Linked DNA regions of Tamandua tetradactyla. The protein of the gene in region 1 purifies or fractionates together with the protein of each later gene. This does not show direct contact. Links are inferred from orthologs where the notes say so. Each region holds a gene or a part of one and is shown in the gene's direction. Other genes may lie near its edges. The genes, in order: NUP153, TNPO1, NUP133 and NUP50.

Region 1 (6,999 bases):
TCCATGGCCTTCTCTCTTTCTGTCTAAATTTCATTATTTTATAAAGGATTCTAGTAATAGGATTAAGACTTACCCTGAATGAGGGGGGTTATGTGTGTCACAACTTAACTGAAGTAATCTCATCAAAAGGTTCACACCCACAAGAATGGATTAGATTTAAGAACATGGTTTTCTGGGGAAATACAGGCTTAAACCATCATAGAGGGTTCCGAAATTGGCTACAAGAAAAGCACAGTGATGGCAAAGGCAAGAGTGAGGTCTTTGGGATAAGGAAGAGAGAAATCATTTCAAATATCAGCTCTGCCACTCATTAGCTCTGTGATTTTTTTCAATTATTTTTTTAATCTCCTTAGTGCCTCAGTTTCCTCATCTGTAAAATGAGTATAATAATTCCTCTCAGGATTGGTAGGATTACCTAAGAATCTCATATAACATTATCATAGGGATTCACACATGATGCTCATCTTGCTGTATCATGAATACCAAATAAGTAAATTCTAGAAATATGAATTTGTAACACAGCTTAGAAAAGGAATACATTCAGGTCAGGAAAGATTAGGTAAACTAGTCAAGCTGTATTCATCACTGCATGTTTATTACAATTAAAAATGGAAGCAATTGGTATTGGTAATAATTGGGTATTGATTGGGTTAAAAAGTTATAGTATATAGAATGTGACTGCTATTTGTTTTCCGTGCTGAGGACAGAGCTGTGGGCAAAAAATCCTTATCTCTTGAAGCTTAAAATCTAGGGGGCAGGGAGGTGGTGCAACAGTGGTTCAGCAGGCAGAGTTCTCGCCTGCCATGCCAGAGACCCAGGTTCGATTCCTAATGCCTGCCCATGCCAAAAAACAACAACAAAATCTAGGGGCAGGGAGGGGGAATGAGTTTCTATTAAAGTATAGTCAATGAAACAACCCAAAATTTAGAACCACTTCTCAGAGTCATCCCAATGTTGTTTAGGCCTAAGGACTCATTGGAATAGAGGTTATTAATGGAAGGAAAAGGATAACCAAAAAAGCAACAGCAGTTCATGGTAAAAAATTTATAAATGTAGCTTACGATTTTGTAACATGAAGTAAAATTATCTCATTTGGTTTAGGAATTCAGTCATCTGTACGAAGTGCTTAATCATAACTATGAAGTAATAAGTATTCCCTTCTTCAAAAACTTGTTAATTTCTGATATGTCTGGGAGGATTTCAAGGACCCCCTCTTATTGCTCCCTGGCAGTTGGTGTTTTTTTTCTTTCAATTTATATATAGTATCTCTTACAGAAATGTAAAAATTTTGTTTGTATGTTTGAATGCAAGCAGAATCTTTAATTTTCCTTAAAGTTTTAAAATCAGAAGAATTTATTATGAACTATGCTACTCCTAGTAGTTTCTAACTGAAGTGCAATCTGTGTTCCAAAAATGTATGAGTTGGTGATTCGTAACTCCAGACTACATTGCAGCACAGAAACAATGTTATTTTAGAATTCCAAACCATGCACAAGAAGTTACTTCATCCCTTAATGAGGCTGATACTATTTCAGGGTAAAATTCTGCAGTGGGAAGTTTTGAATGCAGCTTAGTCCAAAGATAAAACAAATACGCAACAGGGTAAGCAATGGAGAGCAAGGCTGAAGGGGTATGTGGATTTCTCCACAGCTCAAATCCCATCAACCTTCTGAAGTTTCATCCAAGTTTGGCCCAGCTATTTTGCATGTCCCTTCCTTTGAACACTTGAACGTGAAATCTGTTCCACACTTCAAATGATAGCCTCCAAAGAAAGGGGAAAGGGATGAATTTGGACCCTTAGCCAGACCACTGTCCTGTGCTGGAAATTTTGAGTCTGGTAGGGTGAAAAGGGAAAATGGAATGTGGATACATTCATTCTCCTATATATGTATCCCAATTAGAGATTCGAGTTCAGAGTCTCTCTGTGAGTTAGCTTATAAAGAATTACTATACCCTGCTTGTGAAATACCTAGTGAAGGCTTACTATAGAACAAGATTTCAAGTTAGGGGAGGAAAAGCGCCTGAGAGAAAACTATTGACCTTAAGAAAGATGAGGTGCTTCAGGCAGAAGAGCAAACATACCAAGGGGGTGTAGAGGGGAGTTGTAGAAGGGGGCAAGGAGATAGGAGAAGGGGGCAGAGGAGGAAATAAGTTATTTTTTTTTCATATTTGGCAACTTTTTATAGTCTTAGTAATTATGGTCAGAGGTGCCACTGAAAGCCATTTGCTCTGTAAAGTCTATGTCTGTTACAGCATAGTTCCTTTAGGTGCTGAAAGGTAGTACAAGTTCAAAGGTACTGTAAGTTTGGCTTCACAATTTCACTTATGTGATTTATATAATGATAGGAATTGTTGAGGTTGATGGTGGAGATTGTATAAAAATCATGGAGATAATTGTATCTAACAACGTGGCTGATATTAGAATGCTTTCTATGTATTATAAGTAAGGTATTTTACATACATAAATTCTTTATGTATAATCATTTTATTTGTAGATGAGGAAATCGAAGCTTTGAGAGAGAATCAGTAATTTCCCAGAGGTTACACAGCTAGTTTGTAGTGCAAAACTTATAACTGTAATAGATTTGAAACTAAGTCTTTTTGATACCAAAGTTACTTATGTGCTTTGAAATCAATGGTCTCAAAATGAAACATTAAACCTGCATATTTCTTCACAATAGATTTTTTATCTCTAATCATTTGACTGCTTGTCTCAACTTTTATAGAAATGTTTGATTTTAGTCCTGGTGTTGACTGCTCAGCTGTGTCCTTGAACGTGCCACCCAAAATCTATGAACCTGTCTTTTCTGTTGAATAAGGCTGGACCACCTGAGCATCAAGCCATTTCTAACCGTCAACTCCTAGAATCTCGCTACTGTCGTGTGAATTCGGTCTTTGGGCCTAGCTCACTTATTCACTCTTCTAAATAAAATGCCTTTTTATCGGGAACAAATTTTTTTTTTTTTTTTTGCTCAGAATATACCATTTACCTGTTATGTGAGCCCTCCGAGTAATTAATAGCTAATATTTATTGCAGTTCTTCTATGCCAGAAATATAAATTTAATATTTATATATATTAATATAAATATAAATGTCGCAAAAATTTCTCACAACAGTTCTTACGGTGCATTCTAAAGTTCCCATTTTATAAAGGAAGAAGCCAAGGCTGAGAAGGCTCTGATTTAACCAAGGTCAAACAGCTGCTGGACAGTGGCGTATCCAGAATTCCAGCTCTTCAGTGTTTGACAACAAAGCTCTTACCTGTTTAATGGGACATTAATGAAGCTATATATATTTTCAAATTCTGCTTTAGGCCTAAGGTTCATGGACATTGCTTTTTCAACCACAGGCTGTTATTACTTCTTGTAAGATATTAAATTTCTGTCTTTGCTTTTACTGCCTGCTGACTTTCTGCCCGTTTAATCAACTGATGAGGCTCGAGAAATAGAGTGGGAAGGTTGCTGTTTTTATATACATATCCCTCCGGAGTCTAAATTTATAACCTAACCAACTGTAGGAAAAGGCACAGACCCCTCGCTCGGTGCCTGTGCTGCGCTGCATTGATCTCCTTCCCCGCCTTCCGTGCCGACAAGCCGCATTCTTCCGCTGAACTACGTTTCCCAGCGTGCGCCGCGGCCGAGAGCGCGGGCTCTACCAGCGCTTCCTTCCTCCCCGCCTATCGCACAGTCGCAGCGTGATGATGTACAGGCGTCGGGCGCTGACGAATGACGACGTTCTGGCTTGCGACCGCCGCGGCTGCCTTAGCAGCGGCAATCGGCGCAAGAGCGGCGGCGACTGCAGGGACGACGGCGGTGGCGGGGCGGGCGCTGTGCGCAGAGGGGAGGGGTAGGCGGGCGGCGCCGGCGGCCTCAGCTGCGGCAGCGACGGCTAGGGCGGCGGAAGAAGAATTCGTACCGGCCGGCGGGCGAGTTAGGCCTCAACAGCGTGCGGAGCAGCTCGCGCCGTCCTCTACGGGAGATCTCCATAGAGACCGTGACACACACAGAGGCGGGGGTCCGCGGGAGGCTGCCGGACTGGATCTACCTTCTCGGTCTCTGCCGCCGCCACCCCCTCCCCCTCTGCCAGCGCGCACCTTCGCTCCGCTTCTCCTCGAAACCTTGAGGTCCCTGGTGTGCCTATACCTCACCGTGTGGGCAGCGCGGGCGGACATTTGGTCCGGGGCCGGGCGGGGGGGGGCTCTAAGGCCGCCGCCTCTGCCTCTCCCGCCCCCCTTACCCGCCCCGGAGCGGGAAGCGGCGGAGCCTCCGCCATGGCCTCCGGAGCCGGAGGAGTAGGAGGGGGCGGCGGCGGCGGCAAGATCCGGACGCGGCGTTGCCACCAGGGGCCAACCAAGCCTTACTCGCAGGGGCGACAGCAGCACCAGGTAGGCGACCCCGAAACCGCGGTGGCCCAGGCGGGTCGGGGACTCGGCGGGAGTAAACAGGGCGTTGCGGGGCCGCGGTACCCCACACTCGCCGCACGTGGAGCGGACGGGAGGGCCAGAGGAGGCCCCCAGTGAGGCGGCGGGAGCGCAGGCCACTAGGGTGGTGACGGGAAGTGGGTTGAGACAGGCCCGGCCGTGCGGCGCACACGTGTGGCTCGGGCCGCCTCTCCCCTACCCTCTGGGCCAGGGGCTTCCCCCGGCTTGCGCAGGGCGGGAAAGGAAATTTTAGCTCCGCGATGCGCGCGTTTCCTTTTCTTTTTGGCGGGGATTAGGAGTTTGATGGTATTACTCACGGCCTCTTGAGGGAGAAAGGAAAAAAATGTGGCCGGAGGCCTTTACGCGTGCTGTTTTCTTGTCTCCCGCGTTACAGTGTGTCGCGGGAGGGCTCTGCCTCGAGCAGTCTGTCTGCCGGGCACCTGAGGAGGGGGTGCTGGGGGCGCTGTTAACCTGGAAAACAGATTGGCTTCAGCTCAACCCGTTCGTTAATTCACAGTCTTACCCGCCCGTATCTCCTAGCTCTGAGAGCTTGGCTTTTTCTTAACCGTTTTATAGTTACGGTGACACTAGGGCATTTTGAAAGTCCCTCTCCACCCATACGTCTTTTCTCCGCTGCGTGACCCTCCCTCCCCTTTTCTATACCGCCCCCCCCCCCCCGCCTTTTTTATTTTAGAGGCTAGAGTTGGCCATTCGCCACAGTTGACCACGACGCCAATACTGATCTCATGCACAAAATATTTTAATATTATGGGGTGTATTCTAGAAGTTTAGGTACTTTTGACACTCCAGGAATGTTGGTGGTCTTATAATTTAACCACCATGTGTACTTGTGGGTGTTCGAAAGTATGAAAAGGAGTTTAGCTTAATTGTAAATGTCATTTGATTCTAAGAAAGTTCCGTTTTTAAAAGGAGTTTAGTTTAATTATAAATAAGACATTTGATTCTAAGAAAGTTCCGTTTTTAAGTGCTATTTGTTCATGGTGGGGTGGTGGAGCAGGAAAATGTTAAAAATCTATTTAAATAAAGTCACTCATAAAACTAATGACACTAAAGTGGGAAGTGTTTTAAACTTGTTTAAAAAAATAGAATAGGAAGAGTAAAGATATTGTTACATGCTGTTAAGGGTAGACTTCCAAGGTTGTTTTATTCTGGCTGATAATGAATATTGAACAGTTTAACGTATTCTTTCGTTGTGGGGCTAAATTGTATCATTAAAAACCAACGGATATCATTAACAGTAATATTTTAATATTTTTCCATCAGTTGTAACAGAAGTACCACACCAATGCCATTTTAATTATAGGGGACTATAGGGGCTGTGGGAGTTTGCTTTTGGGAGCATGACAATGTTCTAAAATTGATTGTGGTGATGATGAAAGCACAACTCTTATGATGCTGAGAGCCACTCAGTGTATAGGTTGGATAGATTGTATGGTGTTTAAATAAAGCTGCTTTAAAAAACCCTAGATTTTTACAAGTAAGGATTTGAGTTAAATTTTTGAGCAGTGAAAATTGTGGTTTATACATTAAGTCGATTTCTACTAATTGTTAAAAGGCTTGACTGTTAGTTCCCTCCAGATTTTCCCTAAATATTTACAGAAAGTGCCTGTTTTTTTCAGAATTCTTTGTGAAGAACAAGAGTGGTTGGAGACATATTTAAGATTAGCACTCAGGTCACAAGCCTGACCATTTAACCTAAGCCTTTTTTGTAAGAATGGAAGTTGATACACTTGAGTTCTGTTTCTCTTGAAGAGTAAATATCTTCAGGTACTTTTTAGATCCCCTTAAGAGAAAATTACTACATGTATATATTCTTTATATATATATATATATATATATATATATATATAAAAATATAAATATAAAGAATTGTTTTGAATACAGATAGTGGGTGGTCTGGACAAAGTTTGAAAGGCTGGACGTTGCAAAAATTTTATTGCAGGTTTTTTTTTTCCGTTTTAACTTTTTTAAAATTGTATAATGTAACATATGTACAAAATAAAAAAAAAACAATAGTTTTCAAAGCACTGTTCAACACATAGTTACAGGACAGATTCCAGAGTTTGTCGTGGACTACAATACCACCATCTCAGATTTTTCCTTCTAGTTGCTCCAGAACACAGGAAGCTAGAAGGAATAAATATTTTTTTTGTCATCACAATTGACTTTTTTTTTTCTTTGTGAAAAATAATACATATACAAAAAAGCAATAAATTTCAAAGCACAGCACCATTAGTTGTAGAACAGATTTCAGAGTTTGGTGTGGATTATAATTTCACAATTTTAGGTTTTTACTTCTAGTTCCTGTAAGATATTGGAGACTAAAAGAAATATCAATTTAATGATTCAGCAATCATATTCGATTGTTAAGCCCTACCTTCTCTGTATAACTCCACCATCACTTTTGATCTTTCTGTCCCCACTCTTTAGGGGTATTTGGGCTATGGCCATTGTAACTTTTTCATGTTGGAAGGGGCTGGCAATAATATGGGTTAAGGAGAATCACAGTTTAGTTTTTGAGAACATGATACCTTACCATAATGTACCTGTGGATCTA
Region 2 (7,281 bases), on another chromosome or scaffold:
TCCTAGTTCTGGATATGATGAGGAATTTTCAATTGAAACCTGAACTTTTAGGGAATTATGTTATGAGGCTTTGAATCTGTTTAAACTTTGTTTCTGCTGACTTTTTATGATACAGGTCTGGCAGGGGTAGTGGCAGTGGGGTATGCTACCTTGTTGTGCCAGCTTGTGGGGAGAAGTCCAAGCTCATCAGTCTCAGCTGACATTCAAAATGGTGAACTCTGTTACCGCAGGGTGGAAGCAGAAGTCCAGGCTCCCCAAAAGACCTCAGTTGATACACTGATGGGAGGGCGGGCAGTCTCGTTACTGCCTGGTGGGGATAAAAGTCCCAGCTCCCTACTTTTATCCCCAGAGTAGGTGGCTCCCTACTCTGCCACCACCCTGGTTTGGGGATGGGGAGAGAGGTAGGGCAGGGCAGGATCACTGGGGTGCTTTGTTACAGCCTGGTGGGGGTGTAAGTCCAGGCTCTCCACTAAGCTTTTGCTAGCATGGGTAGTATGGTACCTTTTTTTTTCCCAGTGGTGTTTGGCCACAGCAGAGCAGTTCTTATCTAAGAGTTTTCTGCTCTTTCTAGTACTCAGGCTAGAGAAAGTAGGCTTTCTTTCGGGCATTTTGCCTATGCCATTTTGGCTGACTTCTTCATCTCTACGTCTAGTAAAAATGAAGCAAAAGAAAACCCTGGGAACTAACCACCTTGGGTCCCAAAGTCCCTAATTGATCTGTTTTCCTCTCTACTTTTCAGAGTTTTCTCATTTTTATTTTACACGTAATGTCCAAGGACTTAGATACACTTTGTGGAAAGAAAAATGTGTCCACTCCATCTTCCCAGAAGCAGTAGTCTATGTAGACTTTTACATAAATAAAATTTATTTTTATCCTTAGGAGGTATTAATTATAATTATAGGAAGTTCAAAGATAACCTTTCCCAGTTAATACTTTATCTTTTTTATATATATTGGGTTTGCCTTGAATGAGAAATACCTGTAGATTAGCTACAGATTTCTCAATAGTGACCATAAAACTGTACTCTTCCAAAATTTGGATTAAGTCCTTCTAAATAATTAAATTTTTTTCCTTAATGCCAGTCTGAAGATATTTCAGTGAGAATGCAGTTCTTTAAACTGTATAATGTTATGAAGAATAGAATAAGAAATCCCATTTCTTTCCAGAAGGATAAAATGGAAAAAATATTTCTCAGAAGTATTCTGTTTTAGAAGCTTACCTGTACCTTAAAAGATTATTTCACTTCTCTCACTGAGTTTTTCCTTACTCACCACTTTCCTATTAAATATATTTATTTAAAATGTTTTGGGCTCCCAGACCTATCTTTTATTCAATAAACATTCCTTCTCAGTAAAACATTTGTTCTTTTATATGGTATATTAATATCTAGTAATACAATCATTTATTGCCCTCTAACTATCTGCCATTCTGCTAATGAGCTCTTTACATACTTATCTTATTTAATCCCACATAAGACAAGGAAAGCGAAGCTCAAAAAGACTGGGCCAACAATGCTCATAAGTGGTAAAGCCAGCATATGCACATAGGTCCTCGCCCTCCAAACTTCATGCTTTTTTTCTTTTTTGACAATGCTACATCTGACAGAATGAGTATCTTTTTCTTCCTAGGTGAAACCTTTGAGGTTTGTTTTCTTCCTTAAATTGTATTTTGTAATATCTACCATTCTTTGATATTCACCTAATAAAAAAATTTTAACACATAAATTAAAAACACATGTATAACAGGTTTTGAGGTTAAAAGAAAAGTTTAACTATTTTAAATTTCAGCATGTTATTTAAAAATACCAACAATTTCTTCAAAATTTTATCTCATGTGCATTTTGTATATATGTGGGTATACAGAGAAAAACTACCAGATATCTGCTATGTCATATGCAAACTGCGCAAGGAGAAAATAACTGAAAAAGTAAAATACAATAAGCTATATTAATAAATCCTTGTTAACAGTAAAAAGATTCACTACTTAAAACGAGTTTTGAATTTAACCTAGCAGAAACATATAAACTCTACATGTCTAAACATCTTTATTCTTAAACACAAAACTATTTTATAAAGCATTTTAATTCAATTTCATAAAAGAATGGATATTCAATTTAATCTCAATTTCACAATTGGCAATCCGATTTTTTTCCTTTCAAAAGATTTTGGCCAATAAGTGTTCCACATATGCTAAACTTAAAAAAATTCATTTAAATTATTTCACAACTATTAATCATGTGAATTCCTTACTAACTGCTTGTCTGTAGTTCTTTGCATCTTAAGTTATTCGCTACGCCTCTACATTTTTAAAGCATTTCTACTGCTTTTCTTCAGGAAACTAGAATGCAGAGACCATACACCCCCCTGATTTGTACAGATCATGCGCTCTCTTCCACAGTGTAACTTTCCAAATGCAGAAATGTCATGTTTGTATTTGGATAAATAAACTTATTGTTGGTAATACCCTGCAGATACAATAAATTACCATTTCCCAAGGTTCACATTAAACTTTTTTTCGTAGTCGTCTATTCTTATTTGTGGGAGGGTCTTTTTAATGTATTCGCCTACTACCAAATTAACCTCAGAAAACACTGAAATCTGACATTTTTCAGTTATTTAAAATATTTTTTTCTCGCTATGTTCAATTTCCTAGTGATAATATTGGTCCTTTTTCTTGTAAATTTAAGTTAAACTAATTGTCCCTACAAAATGACTCGTTGCAAATGAGAATTATTCAGAAGTTGCTTAACAAATAAGCTCTTTAGGTGAAAATTGAAAACGCTTTCCGTCCTGGGCAGCGCGGGTGCCCAGCACCGCTGCAGCCCTCCGCGGCGCGGGGCGGGGTCGGGCCGGGGTCCTGCGGGCGGCCGAGGCGCAGGGGTCCGCGCGCCGTCGGGTGGGGGCCGAGCCCACGCCCCTCTGCGCGTTACCACGGGCTTCAAAGAGCAGCGCGCGCCCACGCTCGCCACGTCGAATCCCTTTCTGCTGGGAAGAGAGAAGACTTGGCTCCTCTCTCGGGAGGGCCGCGAAGGGGGCAAGAGCGCCTCCCTTCCACGCGCAGGAAGCTGCGGCCTCACGTGCACACACCGGAGCTGCGCGGCTCAGGTGGAAGAGTCGCTTCACCTTACGCTGGAAGCGGCCTCCACGCCGAGCGGCCCGCCACCTCCGCCCGCCTCCCCGCAGCCGGCCTGCTCGTCCCCACCCGCCCTGGGGCGCGGCGCGGGAGGCAGCATGTTCCGTGCGGAGGACGGGCGGAGTGCGGGTCGCTTCTGGGGTCTAGACGGCAGTCTGGGGTGGGGGTCATCCTTGTGGGCGCCCCGCCCGGCCCACACTTCCCGGGCCTTGACGCTCGCGGGCCCACCGCGCAGGGCAGCGTCCGGAGGCTGCGGCAGGCCGTGAGGGGCGCGGGCAGCCCCCGGCGGGGACGCGAGCTGCAGAGGAGCCTCACCGCGCAGGCCCCGCAGGCCCCGCAGGCCTAGGCAGCGCTCAGCCCGCGCCCCGCCCCGCCGCGCCCCATCCCCGCGGAAGCCCCGCCGCGCCCCGCCCCATCCCCGGGCAAGCCCCGCAGGTCCCGGCAGCGCTCAGCCCGCGCCCCGTCCCGTCCCGCCCCGCCGCGCCCCGCCCCACCCCATCCCGCGCAAGCCCCGCAGGTCCAGGCAGCGCTCAGCCCGCGCCCCGCCCCACGCCGCGCCTCGCCCCGCCCCGCGCCTCACCGCTTAGGCCCCACAGGCCCACGCAGCGCTCCGCTCAGCCCCGCCCAGGCCCATGCCCGCGCAGGCCCCGCAGGCCCAGGCAGCGCTCAGCCCGCGCCCCGCCCCACGCCGCGCCTCGCCCCGCCCCGCCCCACCCCGCCCCGCGCCTCACCGCTTAGGCCCCACAGGCCCACGCAGCGCTCCGCTCAGCCCCGCCCAGGCCCATCCCCGCGCAGGCCCCGCAGGCCCAGGCAGCGCTCAGCCCACGCCGCGCCGCGCCGCGCCCCGCCCCCCGCCTGGCCCTGCCCCGCGCCTCATCCGCGCAGGCCACGCAGGCCCACGCAGCGCCTTCCTCCGCGCCTGTCCCACCCCGCGCCTCACCGCGCAGGCCCAGGCAGTGCCTCAGCTTGCGCCGCCCCCGCGCCTCACCCGCGGCCTCACCGGACGCCTCACCTCGCGAACCCTCCGCGCCCCCCTCTCCGCGCCTCCCCCGGCGCAGGCCCCGCAGGCCCAGACGGCGATTTCCCAGCCCCGCCGCCGTTGCCAAGGCGACCGCCGCGCACGTTCCCGCGGGGCTCCGCCCCCCGGCCAATCGGACCGGCCGTCGTCCGCGCCCAGGTTCCCTTTGTTCCGCAGCCATTTCTGGGACCCGAGGCTGCGCCGCCGCGGCCGACAGCCCGAGCGCCGGAGCTTCTGGGATGGTGTGGGACCGGGTAGGTGGCGTGGGCGAGCGCGGCCCGGGCTGAGGGCGGGTCGGAGGCCAGCTTCGGGGGCCGCGGGGGGAGGCGCGCCGGGCTGCCTGCCGAGCGCTCTCCCGGCCGTTTGGAGGCGGCGGCGGCGGCGGCGGCGGCGGCGGCGGCGGCGGCGGCGGCGGCGGCGGCGGCGCGGTTCGAAGGCCAACAGCTGCCGGCCGAGCCTCGGTGGGGCCCGGGCCGCGGGCGGCCGCTGCGGTGTCCGAGGGCACGCGGAGCCCGTTAGGGGCGGCGGTGGAGGAGCGTCTGCTCCCGCGGCCCTGGGGACCCTGGGGGCGGCCCGCCGTCGGCGGTGGTCAGCCTTTGTCCCGGCCCGCGGGCCTCGCCGGCCTGCCCCGCGCCGCGCTCCTCTATCTCCAGGCGGGCCTCCCTCCCGGGGGCCTCGGGGCCCTCGACGCGGTTACCTGGTTTTAATAGTGGAGACTGCACAGGCTGTGCGTGGGTCCGTGTGGGGTTTGCATTCCTGCCGCCGCTGGTGCGCGTGCCACACGCAGCAGGAAACAGCTGCCGAGGAGCTCCCGGCTGCGGGAATTGCTTTCCTCCTGGAAGCGTGGCTACGTCTTATTTGTTGATTGATTTTTGAAAAAAAAGCAGGGTTTTACAAGGACTGCTTGTAATACAGGTCCGTTATCTTGACGCTGATCAGTTGGTCCATCAGTAGATTCTAAAATTAGAAATTTAAAGTTGGAGGTGGTGCACTAATTGATTCTTGCAGTTGTATTGAGAAGTTTAGTAATCCTGCGTTGAAGCAGTGATACCTTCAATGATGAGTACATAAGTGGTACCTTTTTTTTCCCCCTAAGGAAAAAATGCTTTTTAAATGCAAGATGTACAGTATAGCCGAGTGCCTGTTAGGTTTGTAAAATGGCTGTCCTGAAGTACCTCAATTTTAGGGTAAAGTTTCTGCTGGGTTTAAGTTTTGCTATTATATCAACCCTTTCATATTAGAATGGCAAAGAAGTTATGCTAGCGAAGCTGGAGAGGATTCATTTTTTGGGAAGCAATTCCGTTTTCTGCTTTCATCTTGCCCCACACCCCAGTTTTGTTGGAGAATGGATGCCCCAAGTTGAAAATTTGCAACTTGAAGAGGGAAGTATTAGTTTGAAGGTACAGATTTCCTTTTTACTACCCAACATACGTGATGCATAAGCACTTGACAATTTGGCATGCAGTTTTTATTCCACATAATTTAAAGTGAGCCTAATGCTCCATTTTCTTTTTCCCAAAGAGGCTCCCACCCTGGATTGGCGTAATATGGTCACATCTTTGAAAGTCTTAGGTATTCAAGGTATTATTAAATTGCTTCCACTGGAAAGTAATCAAATAAATGTATTACCATTATATAATATGAGCAGAATAAAGTTTTGGTTAAAATGTAATATATGATACTGGTTGTAAATATTTCCAATATCAGCATTTATTAATGCATTCATTGTTTTTATAACTGCACTTTTTTCTTATTTATATAATATTAAAGCCATCATATGAACTCAGTTTTTCTAAATGCTGTAAATGAAGTGTATTGAAATATAAATGCCCTATATTTAGAAGAATCTCTTGCACTTAACCATGTTGGAAATAGCAAACTTTTTTTTTAAGAAAATAAATTGGTTATGTAGAAAGCAATGACATATGTAATGAAAAAAATTTTTCAGATGTAAACTGCATAAAGGGGCACAGCAGTAAGCAGGAATTATTTTTATTGCCCAGTGATTAATTTTGAATATTTCCTACTGGAATTGATTTCTTGAATATATCTTGGTGCCACAAAGACACCTACCTGCCAAAAAAACCAAAACAGTTTGGTTTGGTAGTAAAAGGATGAGATTGCTGAGAGAATTAAAAAATTCACTGATAAGGTTTTCAAAGACGGGGGAAAAGAAGTCTCCCAAAGGGAAGGATTGGAAATCTTCTGAAAAGGCTCTACAAAGGGAAACTCCCCAGCTGTTGAGGCTCTTCCTAGTTGGTCCCATTCCACCAGCGCCATGGTAGATATCCCGTGGGCATGTTTGCAGAGGGGTGAGCTTGACGGTGGAAGATAGGAAGTTTGCAGGGTGGTAACTGATTTGTAGTTGTATGGGCTAGTGTAGGAGAAAAGGCGGTCGTGGTTGCTCCAGGCCCTCCCCACTAGGGCTCCTTTAAGTGTGTCAGTAGGTCTAATGGGTAAGGAATGTTAGAGTTCCAGAATTTCAGTGGCTAAATGAGATGTCGGAATAGGAAATAGGGCTGCAGATATGTCTTGGAATTTTCTGGAGTAGATAGAGAACCTAAACAGGAATGGCAGTTACATCTTCTTCCAACATGGCACCCAATGGCGGAGCAAGTATTTGAATTTAGAACTGAGAGAAAACTGATAACTGTTGAAGAGTTCAAGGTTTGGAATGATGTATCCTTTTTTTAATTTAATGGTTAATGTTTAAAAAAAAAAAAACTTCTCAGTAGTTAGGAATAGGACCTCTGGAGCCAGCCTGGGTAAGAATTATGGCACCGCCTCCCTTGACAGTTTGACTTTGGGGAAGTTATTCAATCTCAGTGAGCCTCAGTTTTCTCAGTTCATAATGTTTTGAGGGTTAAGTAAGTTAATACAATAAGCTCTTTGAACTGGGCTTGGCACGTAGTAACCACTCCATAAATTATGACTGTCATTGTAATCATTGTCATCATTATTATTTTAGAAAATTGTAGAAAAGCACTCATAATATCAGGACCAGAGCTAACTACTGTAAGCCTTTTGATTATTTCCTTCCATTATTTGTTCTGTGTTCAGTTTTTACGCAGTTGAGACTTTATGAATAATTTTGTATTCTACTTTTTTCACTAACACCGTAACATTTTCTT
Region 3 (7,634 bases), on another chromosome or scaffold:
GCTTCCCAAAAAGAAAAGTCCAGGACCAGATGGCTTCACATGTGAATTCTACCAAACATTCCAGAAAGAATTAGTACCAACTCTGCTCAAACTCTTCAAAATAATCGAAGCGGAGGGAAAGCTACCTAATTCATTCTATGAAGCCAACATCACCCTCATACCAAAACCAGGCAAAGATATTACAAAAAAAGAAAACTACAGACCGATCTCTCTAATGAATATAGATGCAAAAATCCTCAACAAAATTCTAGCAAATCGAATCCAGCAACACATTAAAAGAATTATACATCATGACCAAGTAGGATTCATCCCAGGTATGCAAGGATGGTTCAACATAAGAAAATCAATTAATGTAATACACCATATCAACAAATCAAAGCAGAAAAATCACATGATCATCTCAATTGATGCAGAGAAGGCATTTGACAAGATTCAACATCCTTTCGTGTTGAAAACACTTCAAAGGATAGGAATACAAGGGAACTTCCTTAATATGATAGAGGGAATATATGAAAAACCCACAGCTAATATCATCCTCAATGGGGAAAAATTGAAAACTTTACCCCTAAGATCAGGAACAAGACAAGGATGTCCACTATCACCACCATTATTCAACATCGTGTTGGAGGTTCTAGCCAGAGCAATTAGACAAGAAAAAGAAATACAAGGCATCAAAATTGGAAAGGAAGAAGTAAAACTATCACTGTTTGCAGACGATATGATACTATACGTCGAAAACCCGGAAAAATCCACAACAAAACTACTAGAGCTAATAAATGAGTACAGCAAAGTAGCAGGTTACAAGATTAACATTCAAAAATCTGTAGTGTTTCTATACACTAGCAATGAACAAGCTGAGGGGGATATCAAGAAACGAATTCCATTTATAATTGCAACTAAAAGAATAAAATACTTAGGAATAAATTTAACTAAAGAGACAAAAAACCTATATAAAGAAAACTACAAAAAACTGCTAAAAGAAATCACAGAAGACCTAAATAGATGGAAGGGCATACCGTGTTCATGGATTGGAAGACTAAATATAGTTAAGATGTCAATCCTACCTAAATTGATTTACAGATTCAATGCAATACCAATCAAAATCCCAACAACTTATTTTTCAGAAATAGAAAAACCAATAGGCAAATTTATCTGGAAGGGCAGGGTGCCCCGAATTGCTAAAAGTATCTTGAGGAAAAAAACCAAGCTGGAGGTCTCACGCTGCCTGACTTTAAGGCATATTATGAAGCCACAGTGATCAAAACAGCATGGTACTGGCATAAAGATAGATATATCGACCAATGGAATCGAATAGAGTGCTCAGATATAGACCCTCTCATCTATGGACATTTGATCTTTGATAAGGCAGTCAAGCCAACTCACCTGGGACAGAACAGTCTCTTCAATAAATGGTGCCTAGAGAACTGGATACCCATATGCAAAAGAATGAAAGAGGACCCGTATCTCACACCCTATACAAAAGTTAACTCAAAATGGATCAAAGATCTAAACATTAGGTCTAAGACCATAAAACAGTTAGAGGAAAATGTAGGGAGATATCTTATGAATCTTACAATTGGAGGCGGTTTTATGGACCTTAAACCTAAAGCAAGAGCACTGAAGAAAGAAATAAATAAATGGGAGCTCCTCAAAATTAAACACTTTTGTGCATCAAAGAACTTCATCAAGAAAGTAGAAAAACAGCCTACACAATGGGAGACAATATTTGGAAACGACATATCAGATAAAGGTCTAGTATCCAGAATTTATAAAGAGACTGTTCAACACAACAACAAAAAGACGGCCAATCCAATTACAAAATGGGAAAAAGACTTGAACAGACAGCTCTCAGAAGAGGAAATACAAATGGCCAAAAGGCACATGAAGAGATGCTCAATGTCCCTGGCCATTAGAGAAATGCAAATCAAAACCACAATAAGATATCATCTCACACCCACCAGAATGGCCATTATCAACAAAACAGAAAATGACAAGTGCTGGAGAGGATGCGGAGAAAGAGGCACACTTATCCACTGTTGGTGGGAATGTCAAATGGTGCAACCACTGTGGAAGGCAGTTTGGCGGTTCCTCAAAAAGCTGAATATAGAATTGCCATACGACCCAGCAATACCATTGCTAGGTATCTACTCAGAGGACTTAAGGGCAAAGACACAAACGGACATTTGCACACCAATGTTTATAGCAGCATTATTTACAATTGCAAAGGGATGGAAACAGCCAAAATGTCCATCAACAGACGAGTGGCTAAACAAACTGTGGTATATACATACGATAGAATATTATGCAGCTTGGAAGACAGAATAAACTTATGAAGCATGTAATAACATGGATGGACCTAGAGAACATTATGCTGAATGAGACTAGCCAAAAACTAAAGGACAAATACTGTATGGTCCCACTGATGTGAACCGACATTAGAGAATAAACTTGGAATATGTCATTGGTAACAGAGACCATCAGGAGTTAGAAATAGGGTAAGATAATGGGTAACTGGAGCTGAAGGGATACAGACTGTGCAACAGGACTGGATACAAAAACTCAAAAATGGACAGCACAATACTACCTAATTGTAATGTAATTATGTTAAAACACTGAATGAAGCTGCATCTGAGCTATAGTTTTTTTTGTTCTTTTTGTTTTGTTTTGTTTTTATATATATTTTTTGTATTTTTATTTTTATTTTTTTCTCTATATTATCATTTTATTTCTTTTTCTGTTGTCTTGCTATTTCTTTTTCTAAATCGATGCAAATGTACTAAGAAATGATGATCATACATCTATGTGATGATATTAAGAATTACTGATTGTATATGTAGAATGGAATGATTTCTAAATGTTGTGTTAGTTAATTTTTTTAATTAATGAAAAAAAAATAAAATAAAAATATTATGAATCTATATACAGACAGAAACCAAGGGGGCAAAGAAGAAAGGGATATCTAACTCTGTGGAAGTCTTTCCGGCGGCAGTAGCACTGAATGAAGACTTGATGTGTGGTTAGAGGCTTACCTAGCCAACAGGGGTAAGGAGAGAGGGAAGGCATGCCAAGTGAAAGGAATATGTGCAAATACATTGGAGGGGTGAGATGGAAACTCTTACGTATTTTTTTTTCCGGAAGGAATATGCACTGCAAGTGGAAAGGGAATGAAGTGGAGTCAGACGTACGAGCCAGCAAGAGTTAAATCACAAAGGACCTTGTAAAGGAGCTTGCCAAATTACCTGTGGGCAACAAATGGTCAGCTACTGAAGCAGTTTCATGCCCAAGAACAACATCCAATATACCTTATGTTGGGACCTATATCACATACCCTATAAAAGGCATATTCAAGTCTTAGTCTGTGCCCCCATGGGTGTGAACTCATTTGTAAATAGGACTTTTGAAGATATTATTAATTAAAGTCTGTACACATTTGTGAATAGGATCTTCGAAGATCCCTATTTAGATGAAGAAAAATTGAATCAGGGTGAGACTTACCCTGATGAGTCCATATAAGCAAAGGAAACTTGTATACAGTGGGTAGAGGAATCCAGAAGTCAGAAGATAGAAAACGAAGGAGATTGCCATTTGACAAAGGCAGATATGAAATTCAAGGAACCCCAAGGATTGCCACAAGCAGCACCGGAATACCACAAACAGTATCTGGGAGGAAGCATGGCCTATGGAGATCTCGATTTTGTATTTTTAGCATTAAAAACCATGAGACAATAAATACTCTGTTTAAGTTAACCCATTGTGTGGTATTTGTCATAGCAGTGCTAGCAAAGGAAGACACCTTAGTCCACTAATTTAGCAATGTGGAGGATGGAGTGGAGTAAGAGCAGGCAGAGGCAAAGAAACTCAAAAAGAGATTATTGCTATGGTCTAGGGAAAAGGTGAGTGCGTGAACAGGGCAGAGGTAGTGCAGCTGTGTGAGATGTGCTAGATGTACTCCAGAGCTACAAAGGACCAGGATGTTGTCGTGAAGATAAGTTTGAGGATGACTTTAGGATATAGCCCTTATTTTTACCTTGGACAACTGACCAGTTTACTAAGCTGGAAAATACATGATAGGAGGATGAGAGTCCTAAAAGAAAGCATGAATTCAGTTTTAACAAGTGAATAGTAAGGAGTCTGCAGGATATCCAGGTGAAAATGTCCACTATGAAGTTGACAGATGTCTTTGTTTTTTTTTTTAAATCAGGATCTGCCTTAGAAATATGTATTCGTGGCGTGAATAGTGTGGATGAGACAGTCCAAACAGAAAGAGAAATGACAAAATGGGAAAAGAACAAATAAAATATTGTGTGAAACCTGCGTTAGGTTTACCATCGCCCCTTTCCATTTCTCTGGCTCAGGAAAGATCAGAGGGAGAAGTGGCTTCGCGTCAAGCGGCTAGAGCGTCAACACCGCCTATGTGAGTCGGGAAGGCCCCCTGGTTTTCCAGCTTCATTTCCCTGGAAAGTCAAGACTACTGCTTGGACCAGAAGCTCCGGAGGCGCCAACCCCGCCCATTCTCCTCCAGCGGCTGCAGCTCCGCCCACGCCCCGCGGGTTGTGCGCTGGGCCTGACGTCATCACCGTGCGCTCTCGACCTTCAAGCTCCGCGCGCGCGCCGCGAGCCTGCGCCGCGAGTCTGCCCCTCGGCCGGGAAACCGCGCGCTCCGCCGTCACTCCCTCGCATCATGTTCCCGGGCGTCCCCTCCCCGCGGACCCCTGGTCCAGGGTCCCGAAGGGGCCCGCTCGGCGGAGTCGGGCCGGCCTCCACGCCCCGGGTGCTCAGCAGGAAGGGCCTGACCCTGGGGTCTGGAATGAGCTCTCCTGTGCTCTTCTCACCGGTCGGCCGGCGAAGCTCGCTGAGCTCACGGTAAGTGATTCCTCCCTCGTTGGGTCCGACGAGAGGCAGACTCAGAGGCTTCGGTAGGCCTAGTGGGGGAGTCTCCCGAAGCCTCTGGAAACGTTGGGAGGGAGGTGGGGGCGGGGGTGCCAAATTTTGGGGAAAATAAATATCCGCTACCCTTGCGGGTTATTCCAGCTTCACCTCGATTGACTCGTCATTTGAATCCTCGCTTTGCGCTTTTCGTGGGATTATCTTTGTGCGGAAAGAATCAACAAGCTGGATTTGAATCGGTGCCACTTCCCCTCTTCTTACCAACCCTGTAATGTAGAATAAGTCACTCGTGATTCTCCTCAACTGAAATGGCGCTAATACCTGACCTACAGTCAGTCTCCCTCACTAAGGCCAGAGGACTCGATAAGAAACGCCTGGATGCAGTTGTTAAGTGATGGTGGTAGTAAGGACCTCCTACCCTAGAACGTCATTATGTAATGCCGAACATACTAAGGCATTAGTATCTGCTGATTGGTAATTAAAGGACGTTTAGCTACAAAAGTTCCCTTTGTAGTTAAATTAACAGAGAAAAGACCTTCTACGGTGGGATAAGAATGGTAGTTTTGTAACCAATAAGAAGTGCGAAGCAGCAGTCCATATCACTGGTAAAAGTATGCCTCAACCCACCCATGTTCACAATACTCAGAACTTTAGAAGGTAGGTAACATCTGTTTCTGAGTAGTTTCCTCTGATCCACCCATCAAAAATGAGTTTTCCCTTGCGAGAAATAACGGTATTACTGTGCCTTAAACTTACAGTTATAATGTATTTATACAGTTTTGCAGTATTTTAAAGGAGAAATGAATTTGAAAGAATGCACTGTATCCTTGGCTTTTGCATTTTGAAGAGTGCTCTTAAAAGTGCTGATGCTCTTGTCAGTGTTTTATGTTCCTTTTGAGAGAAGTAAAAGAATAAAAGCCATAGTTTTCTTTTTCAATTCCTTACTATGGTTTTAAAATTTCTTACCTTCTGGTGGCCATTCAAAGAAAAACCTTGTTACAATACTTCTGTTAGGAAATACAGCTCTATATGTGTAACTCCTCGTTAAGTCCTCTTGATAAATTTGAGGGTAACTTTTATATGGTGGCTTTACATTATTATTCTGAATGTGAAGAAGAAAATGAGAAAGGAATGTAATGTCTACTTCTATACCTATTATTAAAGGCTAGGTTAGAGCAGATGGTCATGACTCTGTTTTCTTGTTTGGTTGCACAGAGCTGGTAGATTTCTTAGATTTCAAGAGCTGAACAAGAGCTTAAGTATGACCGACCCCTATGTTTGTAAATGTTTTCAACCATAACATGTGATTAAACTCTGAAATTTTATATGCTAGTTTTTCAAAAATGTTAAGACCCTCAAAATGACTTGCAGTTTGAGAAACACTTATCTAGCCCAATCTTGTTATTTTCTAGATAAGGAATCAGTTATAAAAAGAGGCATGCATTTACTAGAGTATGAGTCTAAAGCCAATTTTCCCCAAATCCCTCCATTTTCAATGAATGATATATTTAATCACACAAGTATACGTAGGTCAGTGTTCTTTCCACTGTCACCTCTCTTCTTGTGTAATAAAGATCTTTTTATTATGAAATTATATATACGAGGTATGATAATGAAAAATTTAAATTATGAGTGCTGTTACAATGTCTCTTTTCTTTAGAGGAACACCTACACGAATGTTCTTACACCACTCTGTAACTGAGACTATGAACTATGATGTGAAAACTTTTGGCTCTTCTCTCCCTGTGAAAGTTATGGAAGCCCTAACATTGGCTGAAGGTTGGTATCATCTTCCCATTTGCCTCAGTTAGCAATTCAAAATGGAATTTAGCCTTTAGGAAAATGCAGATCAAACCCATCCTAAAATAACACTTCATACTCTCTAGAAAGGCATTTATTAAGAAATGGAAAGTAGCATGTGAGGACTGTGAGAAATAGAAACTCTCCTACATTGTCGGTGGGAATATAAAATCAAGCAGCCTGTGGTAAACAGCTTGGCAGTGTCTCAAAAAGTTAAACATCCACTTCTAGGTATATGCCCCAAAAGAACTGAAAGCAGCACCTCAGATATTGGTACGCCAATGGAGATGGTGGCATTATTCACAATAACAAAAGGTATAAGGAACCCAAGTGCCCATCTACAGATGACTGGATAAACAAATGTGCTATATACATTCCTGTAAAAAGTGAAGTTTTGATATGTAGATGAACATGGGTGAATGTTAAAGACATGAAGGACAGATATATGATTTCATTTAAATGAAATAACTAGAATATGCAAATCCATTCATAGAGAAAGAACATCTGTATAGGTAGGGGGCATGTAATCAAGTTATTGCTTATTGGGTGCAAAGTTTCTGTTTGGGGTGATGGAAAAGTTTTGGTAGTGGATAATGGTAATGGTAGCACAACATTGTGAATGTAATTTAAGCCACTGAATTGTTAGATTTGCAAGTGGTTAAAATGGCAAATTTTATATTGTATATATCTTACCACAGTTTTTTTTGTTTTGTTTTAATTTTTTAAGATGGTTTTTTAAAAAATGATGCCTAGGGTTGGCATGTGGATTGAAATTTTTGCTTTCTCTAGTATACCTGAGAGATATACCTAAATGGGGAGATATAGTCAGCTTATTTGACTTTTCAGTATAATTGAGAAGTATCATAAATTTGAGAAGCTGGATGAGTTCATTCTAACACAATCAGATTAAGTCTTTATTAGTTTCAAGTGCTGCATATAGCAAAATT
Region 4 (7,868 bases), on another chromosome or scaffold:
CCTATCTCAATTCCTTAATATCAGGAACTAAGTGTGATCTGTAGCCTTCCTATTTTTGGGTTGCTTTCTGGTAAATTCAAACAGAGAATGACCCAAACTTCAAGGTACACACCTATTACAAAGGTAAAACAAAGGCCAGAGAACACTTGGAATTCAACAAACATTCTGCAACTTTATTAGGTTAAACTGGGCTTCAATTTTCTGACACAGTTATGACTTGAGCACATGGATAAACTATACAATGGTGGTTCCTGCCATGGAAGGCACGATTACATCATCTTGAACTCACTTTGAATTAGGTAAAATAAGTAAATCAATATATCTGTATATTTACTTACTGAATATGAATATGAAATTACCCAGGTTGACAACCATAAAAATCCTTTAGTTTTCAGGGGTTAGGCAAACTGGAATTTTTGAAAGACAGATTTCAGGAATAAAAATTGGCTAACACCTTCAGACGCTTATTTCATAAAATGAGGGAGAAACAGCCTCACTAAATGGAAGCAGTCAAATCTATCAGCAGTAGATGGCTACATGCAACCGCCACTTTGCTGAGTTATAGGCAGTTTAAAGCTGTCATTTTAGTAAGCACTGAAATCCATCCTATAACGTGCTAGTCAGCTAAAGTGCTATTATACACATAAATCTATTTTTTACTTGCATTAGAAGGGCATCAATTACCTCATGCTACAATGTTTAATTAAGAAGTAAATGCACTATTTCCCCTAACCTATAAGCTGTTGTGTTATTGTCAGAATAAAAGTTGCTATTTTAACTTAAGTCACATTTCAATGTGGAATACATAAAGTCTACCATAACCTCAGCAGTCAATGTCCCTTATACAGTAACAATCTAAAGATTATATATGAGTGAATTAGTAATTATACTTTGCAGTTAAAAACAAAACTTATTCAACTTACAAGAGAGCACTACAACAGTTTGGAATGAATGAGCTTCATGCAGACAGCACCAAATATGAAGATTCACAAGGTACTGTAACCGAGAAGTTAAGATTTACTGAATTATTACATGGGTATTTCTTTTTCACTTTCTAATACAATAGCCAGAAATGCCTGAAATTACTGAACTATAACCTAGCTGCCTTGATTTCTGATGATTGTAAAACTATATAACCTTTTATCTTATAATTGCAAAAACCTTGTGACTGGCCTCATCTATACCTACAATCCTGTTTTTCAACCTGAGAGTGTTACAATCACAAAAGACAGTCCCCTGATGTTTATTAATGAAGGAACCTGAGGCAGCTCAGAACTAACCTAACTCAATTCCTCAACTATCCTACCAGACAGGCTGGATCTACTCAAAATTGGCCTCTCTCATTGGTTATCACAGCCATGCATGGCCCGTTATCTTGTGTGCCGCTACTTCAGCTCATTGTCAGCTCAGCTGAAGCGCAAAGTGTGAGCGATGCAGCTCTTTACCAATTCTGGTTTGTTCTCTAGGGTGTAACATATTATAATGGTCTAATGATATTTTAAGAAAAGACCACTGTGATCTCCACTTTACAGACAAAAAAAAAAAAGTACATCAAATGGCTTTCCACAGGAACTATTATAAAAATCAGGATTAGAATCTCAAGCTCAGGAATCAATGTAACACCCCAAAACACTTGTCAAGGCTGTGATTGTATTTTTGTAGTTTATTTTGCTAGGGATTTGAAACCAAACAGTGTAGTGTAGAAAAGGACAGAACATTAAGTAAGGAAAAAAGGGCAGAGAGCAAGTCTGAGACTATAAGAGACCAATGATGCAAGTTCTGAGAGCACTATGTCTGAGAGGGCTGGTTACCAGAGCACAGGCAAAGTATGTTAGAGCATGGGGAAGGGAGATGGCATGGGAGCTTCAATCCTTCTTTGGAGAGCCAAAGAGAAGGTTAGCAAGATCGGTTCAATTTCCTGAGGTCCAGGAGCAGTTTAAATAAAAAAAAGTGGGGTGGAGAGTACTGTAACCCATACCAAACTTTAAAATCTGTTCTATAACTATGTTATAAAACAAAGTTAAAAAGTGTGTGGAAATTTATTGCCTTTTGTGTAAATGTTATATTTCACAATAAAAAGAATGTTAAATTCCTCCTCAAAAAGGGAGGGTCAGGTTGGGTTCCAGAGTAAGCCTCAAGTAAAGGCAAAAGGACCAAAAACAGCAACCAAAGCCAGTCTTAACATGGTTTTCTGTTCTTAGTAGTAAAATCTCACTAAGAAAAAAAAAAAATTGGCCTCCCTGACATGAGTAGTAGCTTAAACTTTAATCAATCTGTACATACTCAATAATTAGATCACCTCTAATCACATCATCTAGAGCCATTATGCCCATTACCTAAAACCTGCCCATCTTTTCAAACCATAAAACTATCAGTAACTGCAGTTCAAGGAGACGGATTTTAAGGCTGACAGGCTATCTGGTTTCCTGCTTTGTGCTTACCAATAAACTCTCTCTCTCTTTGAAATTAACCCTGTTGTCTCAGGAATTGGTAACTTGATCACATTGGGCAGAGAACACCCACTTTTGATCAATATCACACCCAGCCAGAAAAGAACTCAAAATGTCTAAGAGGATGTCTCTCTCAATGGAGAAAAGGAAAGGTTCCTTCATTTGGCAAATACATGAATGTCTACTTTGTACTAAGAACTATGCTAGGTTCTTGGGATATTAGTGGCTGAAAATGAAACTGGGTGAGGAGAAAGATAAATTGGTAGGTTTGGAGCAGAGATGCTAAAGTTTGTGACTGCCTCTTTTTTGTGGTGCAAGAGGTGAGACTGCCTGCTGTGTGGGCCTGGGAGACAAAAGCAGCTAGGAAGGTTTAAGTGAGGTTTTAGAGTAGTCTCTAAAGGGTGACATATGCTGAAAAAGATAGCTGGGTACCATCAATCTGGGAGTGTGTGTGTGGGGGGGGGGGAGGCCATGCTAGGCATCCAATGTCTGTTGTAAGAGCACGTGGAAAGAACACTGGGCTGGAGGTGAGAGCTGGGCTCTGTCACTCACCAGTGAAGTCATATCCTATTTTTGTGAGGAGTCTATACTCAAAAACACTGACCAGGTTAAGAACAGAGCATACCACTAAAGACCTCCCCCTTCGTCATATGCTGTTAGTCAAAACAGTCTCTGGTTATAGTTTTTCTGCTAGTTTTACACTCAATTCACAATGACAGTGTGAAAGATCTGTTGAAATAAAAATATACAAAATAATACAGCTCCCTGTTGGATATTTCTTTTTACATCTATGCTCAAAAAAAACAAATCTGTCAAAACAGACGTTTCAGATTTCTTGTCCTTAGGGATAGTAAACGTATTGCTAGGGAATAAGCTTGACTTTATCCCTAAATGTCAAATGTAGGGGCTTTTTTTTTTTTTTTACCTTTTATATACATTTAGTAACTAGAGTTCTTGATACAGGGTCAAAAATGGGCTTTTAGGGAGGATTCCTAAACATCCTGAAATTACACTGAAATTGGCCTTCTACATGCCAATTTTTTTGACTTCTCAATATATCTATAAACCTCCTCCTTCCCCAAAAAAGTTTAAAAAACGCTGCTCTAAATATGCAAGTTCCTTTCCTAAAGCAAATTTCCTAATTAGTTAGTAATGGGTCTCACTTCCCATAGTGTCTTATGGTTAATATTCTCCTCTAGCCGTTAAAACAAGGAGAAATGGACAAAATTGCTTTTCATGACTTAACCTATAATGGTTTGAAAATGAAAAACTGAAACCAAAGCACGATAACAGAAGTCCTCCCACTGGATAGTTTAAAAGGATGTTTGCAGATTTCATCTTCCTTGAGTTTGATAAAATCTACAAGGCCCAACACGGAGGCGCCCATGTGAACCACCACAACAGTAAAATAAAAAACCGACGCTAGTTTCTATAACCTGTAAAAGCACGGCTCGCCCAGAAAACCAAACTTAAATACAGCTGATGAGTTATCACTGACGAATTTCTTCATTATTCACTCCTAAGCAACCCACCTCCTCCCCATTTTGTATAACAGCCAACCCCTAAATGGAAACAATGTACAGCCAATCAACGTTTCCTCATTTGCTTCCGCATTGGCCCTATATGAGCTTCTCCCTTCCACCTCCTCGGGGGAGCTTCCTTCTACCTTCTGATCGGGATTCTACCTGATTCCCGAGCCCCTCAATAAAGCTATGATATGCCAAGTTGCATGAAAAGTTATTTTGCCAATCTTAACTAGCTGTGCAATTCTAAGCAAGTTACTTGATCTCTATGGCACCTAAAGCAGAAAATAAAAATAACTGACTGACAATGGGTGGGTCCGTTTACTCTCCATGAACCAGGAGGCTGGAGCAGATGACTTATACACACAGCCCGCTAAACTCCGACATTCCAAGCCTTCACTTATTCCCGCCATGCCCAAGTTCCTGGTAATCGCAGCAGGGCCACGTCTGGTATGTTCCGGAAGGAATTCCATGGTGGTGTGGAGGCTGCCTGACGTGGAATTTTCCTGACTTCACCTCATTACTCGTTTCACCCGGAGAAAGGCCGGTAGTTCCCGCAGGCTTCGGCCTTTCTCTCTCTCATCAGTCCTCCAGCACCCGTCAAAGAAACACCATGCGTCTCGGTCGCGCTCACTGATTGACCATCCTCTCGCGAACTCCTCGCAGGTCCCCAACCCCGTCGTTCCAACTACAGCGACTAAAGCCAGAACCTCCTCAATCGCCGACTGCGACTGCCAAGCAACTAACGCACGCACGGACACGCCGCGAGCGTTGGCCCCTTCCCCCCGGGGGAGAGCGGCGCGCTTGCGCGGGCATGCGTACGCCGCGCGCTCTCCTCCTGGCATGCGCCTTGTGACGCCACTGCCAGTAAAGTAGGCGCTGCCGCCGAACGCTCTGGTGCGCTTGCGCAGTAGTTGGACGCGGGCGTTTCTTTCCTCCTTGTTTTTTCGAATTCGTTAGAGGGGTAGATTGTAGCTACAAGATGGCGGCTTGGAACGTGTTCGCCGCTAGTACCCCAGCAGTTTCTGGCTAAGCCGACAGCTCGTCCCCCTCAATCCCGAGCACAGAGAGACGAGGACCCAAGGGGACATGATATTTGAGAGTCTAAGCTTGCTGATCTCGAAATTCTTCGAGGCTTTCAGCAAACCGGAAGCGACCAAGAGCGCTCGGCTGGGCAACAGCCGCCGCCTCGACCCCAGCGCCGCGACCGCCACCTCGAACCTGCTGGTCTTCGCTTCCCCCACAACATAGCCAGTGCTCTAGCGGCCTCTGGGGAGGTGAGAAGTCCGTACGTGAGGGAATGGCGCCGAGGGCGGGAGCCGGGGTGCAGGTCCAGGATACGGGAGGCCGGTTTGAGAAAGGGGAAATGGACGAGGGAAGAGCACCGGGACTAGACCGGGGTGCAGGGTCCGGCCTACAGACTGTCGCCGGGCGGGGCGGGGCGAGACGGGGAAGCCGGGGAGGGTGGGGCAGGATGACAGCAGCGACGCAGCCGATAGCTGTTTGTGAAGCCGGGACCGGAACCGACTTGCCGGGACCGCGGTGTCCGGCTGAGATAAGACGCACCCCGGCGCGGGGCCCCTGCGGCGCGGCGGAGATGGGAGGCCAGAGTGGGCCTGGGTGTCCCTGTCGTGGCCTTCTCTTTTCAGCACCTTGCTGTACTCTCAGTACTTCATTCCGCGGTTTTCATCTCCCCTCTGTTCTCGTTAGTCCTCTTTCGCCTGGCCTCGCTTTCTTAACTGCCTGTCCGGGCCATCCCTTTACTCGTTTCCATTGAGAAGCAGTCAGAGGTTTAGTTTTTCCCCTGGTGTTTGTCTCCTTTGTCCGCCCCCGGGTTCTTTTCGTCTTCCTCCAAATACCTAACAAATGAATATGGTCATGTTTGTGTTTTTCATCTTGAAATTCAGCCCCAAGGGCTGTGCTGCACCAGGTAGCAGAGGCCACGATATAAACTTATTAGGCACAAATAATGGAAGTTTTCTCCAGTTACTTAGTTTCAGTTTCTTTTCACATTGTTTCATACCTCTAGCAATAGTTTAATCATTTTGTGCATTTTTACCCTTAACAGGTACATCAGACTTAATAGTATCAGGCCTTGTTCAAGATGCTTTACAGAGATTTATGTCTTTTAACAAAACTTGTTTGTTTAATTTAATAACCGTTTATTATTATGTTCCAGGCGCTATTCTGAACTAAACTCTTTTCGTTTAATTTTCAGAAGCGATCTTTCTCATTTTATAGATGGAAAAACCGAGGGATAAAAATTAAGTAACTTAATTAACTCACAGCTATGAAATGTCAAAACCAGGATGCTAGCATCTTGTAGTATTTCTCAACTATGTAATATCTTAGGTTTGCAGTTCAGCAACACATCGAACACCTACTATGAGCCAGGCACTCTCTTTCCTAGCTAGAAGTTAAAAATTCTCCATTTGCGGCTTTTACCTTTTAACTACCCCTCCTTTTTACCCACGGTTAATCTCTAATAGCAATAATGACCATTTCCAGTTCACTTTTTTTCTGTCCAGTGGTTAGTTAGATATTAGGTGTTAGATAGGAGAAGGACAGAAGATTCCACTCAGGCACTTGACCTCTGAATGAGTTGTAAGGGATTATATCTACAGGTACTGTGTTTGTTTTTGTTTGGATGACAGAGGTTAATAGCAAAACTTAGCCATATGTTTTCAGGAAGGCATGATAAAGGATTCCCAGGTAATGGCGGTTGCGAAATATATTTATTTTAGAATCTTTGACTTTAAAATTGTAAAAGAAAAATTCAAAGATTATTAGGATATTATTGAAAGTAGAAAGACCCCATATATAACCACTCTACCAGGGTCGATCTGCAAATGCTGGTGTTTGAATTACATTTTATAGATGCTAGAGAGCAGTAAGTGATGTGTAAATTTGTGAGTGTCTAGTCTGGTATGTTGTGATGTTGAAGGCAGATGAGGGTGGGGAAAGACTATCAAGAAGTCCAAGTAGGTTTCAGAAGCCTTGGCAAGTGTCCAAAAATAAGTGATAAGTTCCTGGCTGACGGGTGTAGCAGAACAAATGGGAAAGTAGTGTGGGTTTTTTTGTTGTGTGTGTGTGTGTGTCTTTAAATGGTTGTAAAGTCTCAGATATTAAGATATCCATAGTAATCATATCTCCAAAAATAAGTGATAAGTTCCTGTCTGACGGGTGTCGCAGAGGAAATGGGAAAGTAGTGTGGGTTTTTTTGTTGTGTGTGTGTGTGTGTGTGTGTGTGTCTTTAAATGGTTGTAAAGTCTCAGATATTAAGATATCCACAGTAATCATATTTTGAACTTAGCTTAACAATATATAATTTGGAGTGGTTAATTGTTCAATCCTATTTCTTATCAGCTATCTCAAGCCTAAAGAAGAGTGCTCATGTTGTGAAGGTATTCCCAGAGCCTTATTAAAATTCTTACCTGAGAATGAACTTTTTTAATGCATCATTTTAAAGAGAATTTCAAATATTAAAAATGTTTTGCCTACGGGACTATAAATGTAATTTGCATAGAATGAGTTAGGTCAGCCCTTAATTGGTTATATATAGTGCTTATATTCCAGACTTTTAAAAATCAGTGTTTCATGAATTTTTCCAAATGGTTGTTTTTGTGTTCAGTAAGAATTCCAGTATTCTTACTGACTTCCACTTAGGAGACTTCTACTGCCTCCTAGCAAAACTCTCTGGTGGATTTGTAATACCAAGATCCTAACAATACTGTCATAAAGTTCTCTTTGAAGGAGTTTCCACTGATATCAGGAATGGTTATATCTTGTTTTTTGCTGTAGTACATTTAAAAACTTATTTTTAAGAGTTATATACACATTGGTGTAGAAAAATGAACTTTTTGTTTTCTACCACTTAGGTTTGAAAAAATGGCGA

What was found.
Region 2: the proteins of NUP153 (region 1) and TNPO1 purify together in Homo sapiens (co-immunoprecipitation; 3 studies listed by BioGRID and IntAct, with this or other methods). This does not show direct contact. The link is inferred for Tamandua tetradactyla from reciprocal best matches to the Homo sapiens genes NUP153 and TNPO1.
Region 3: the proteins of NUP153 (region 1) and NUP133 purify together in Homo sapiens (co-immunoprecipitation; 3 studies listed by BioGRID and IntAct, with this or other methods). This does not show direct contact. The link is inferred for Tamandua tetradactyla from reciprocal best matches to the Homo sapiens genes NUP153 and NUP133.
Region 4: the proteins of NUP153 (region 1) and NUP50 purify together in Homo sapiens (affinity purification with mass spectrometry; 8 studies listed by BioGRID and IntAct, counting the BioPlex papers as one, with this or other methods). This does not show direct contact. The link is inferred for Tamandua tetradactyla from reciprocal best matches to the Homo sapiens genes NUP153 and NUP50.

Annotation. Positions count from the first base shown.
Region 1 is NC_135351.1:20,802,410-20,809,408, reverse strand, and holds the start of NUP153 (nuclear pore complex protein Nup153), read left to right. Parts: upstream 1-3,999; 5' UTR 4,000-4,271; coding exon 4,272-4,385; intron 4,386-6,999. UniProt on the Homo sapiens protein: Component of the nuclear pore complex (NPC), a complex required for the trafficking across the nuclear envelope. Functions as a scaffolding element in the nuclear phase of the NPC essential for normal nucleocytoplasmic transport of proteins and mRNAs.
Region 2 is NC_135347.1:59,848,176-59,855,456, reverse strand, and holds the start of TNPO1 (transportin-1), read left to right. Parts: upstream 1-4,271; 5' UTR 4,272-4,389; coding exon 4,390-4,404; intron 4,405-4,847; exon of another isoform or gene 4,848-4,960; intron 4,961-7,281. UniProt on the Homo sapiens protein: Functions in nuclear protein import as nuclear transport receptor. Serves as receptor for nuclear localization signals (NLS) in cargo substrates.
Region 3 is NC_135328.1:153,880,839-153,888,472, reverse strand, and holds the start of NUP133 (nuclear pore complex protein Nup133), read left to right. Parts: upstream 1-4,615; 5' UTR 4,616-4,681; coding exon 4,682-4,863; intron 4,864-6,547; coding exon 6,548-6,666; intron 6,667-7,634. UniProt on the Homo sapiens protein: Involved in poly(A)+ RNA transport. Involved in nephrogenesis.
Region 4 is NC_135333.1:39,470,009-39,477,876, forward strand, and holds the start of NUP50 (nuclear pore complex protein Nup50), read left to right. Parts: upstream 1-4,853; 5' UTR 4,854-5,261; intron 5,262-5,503; exon of another isoform or gene 5,504-5,678; intron 5,679-5,704; exon of another isoform or gene 5,705-6,597; intron 6,598-7,339; exon of another isoform or gene 7,340-7,377; intron 7,378-7,851; 5' UTR 7,852-7,861; coding exon 7,862-7,868. UniProt on the Homo sapiens protein: Component of the nuclear pore complex that has a direct role in nuclear protein import. Actively displaces NLSs from importin-alpha, and facilitates disassembly of the importin-alpha:beta-cargo complex and importin recycling.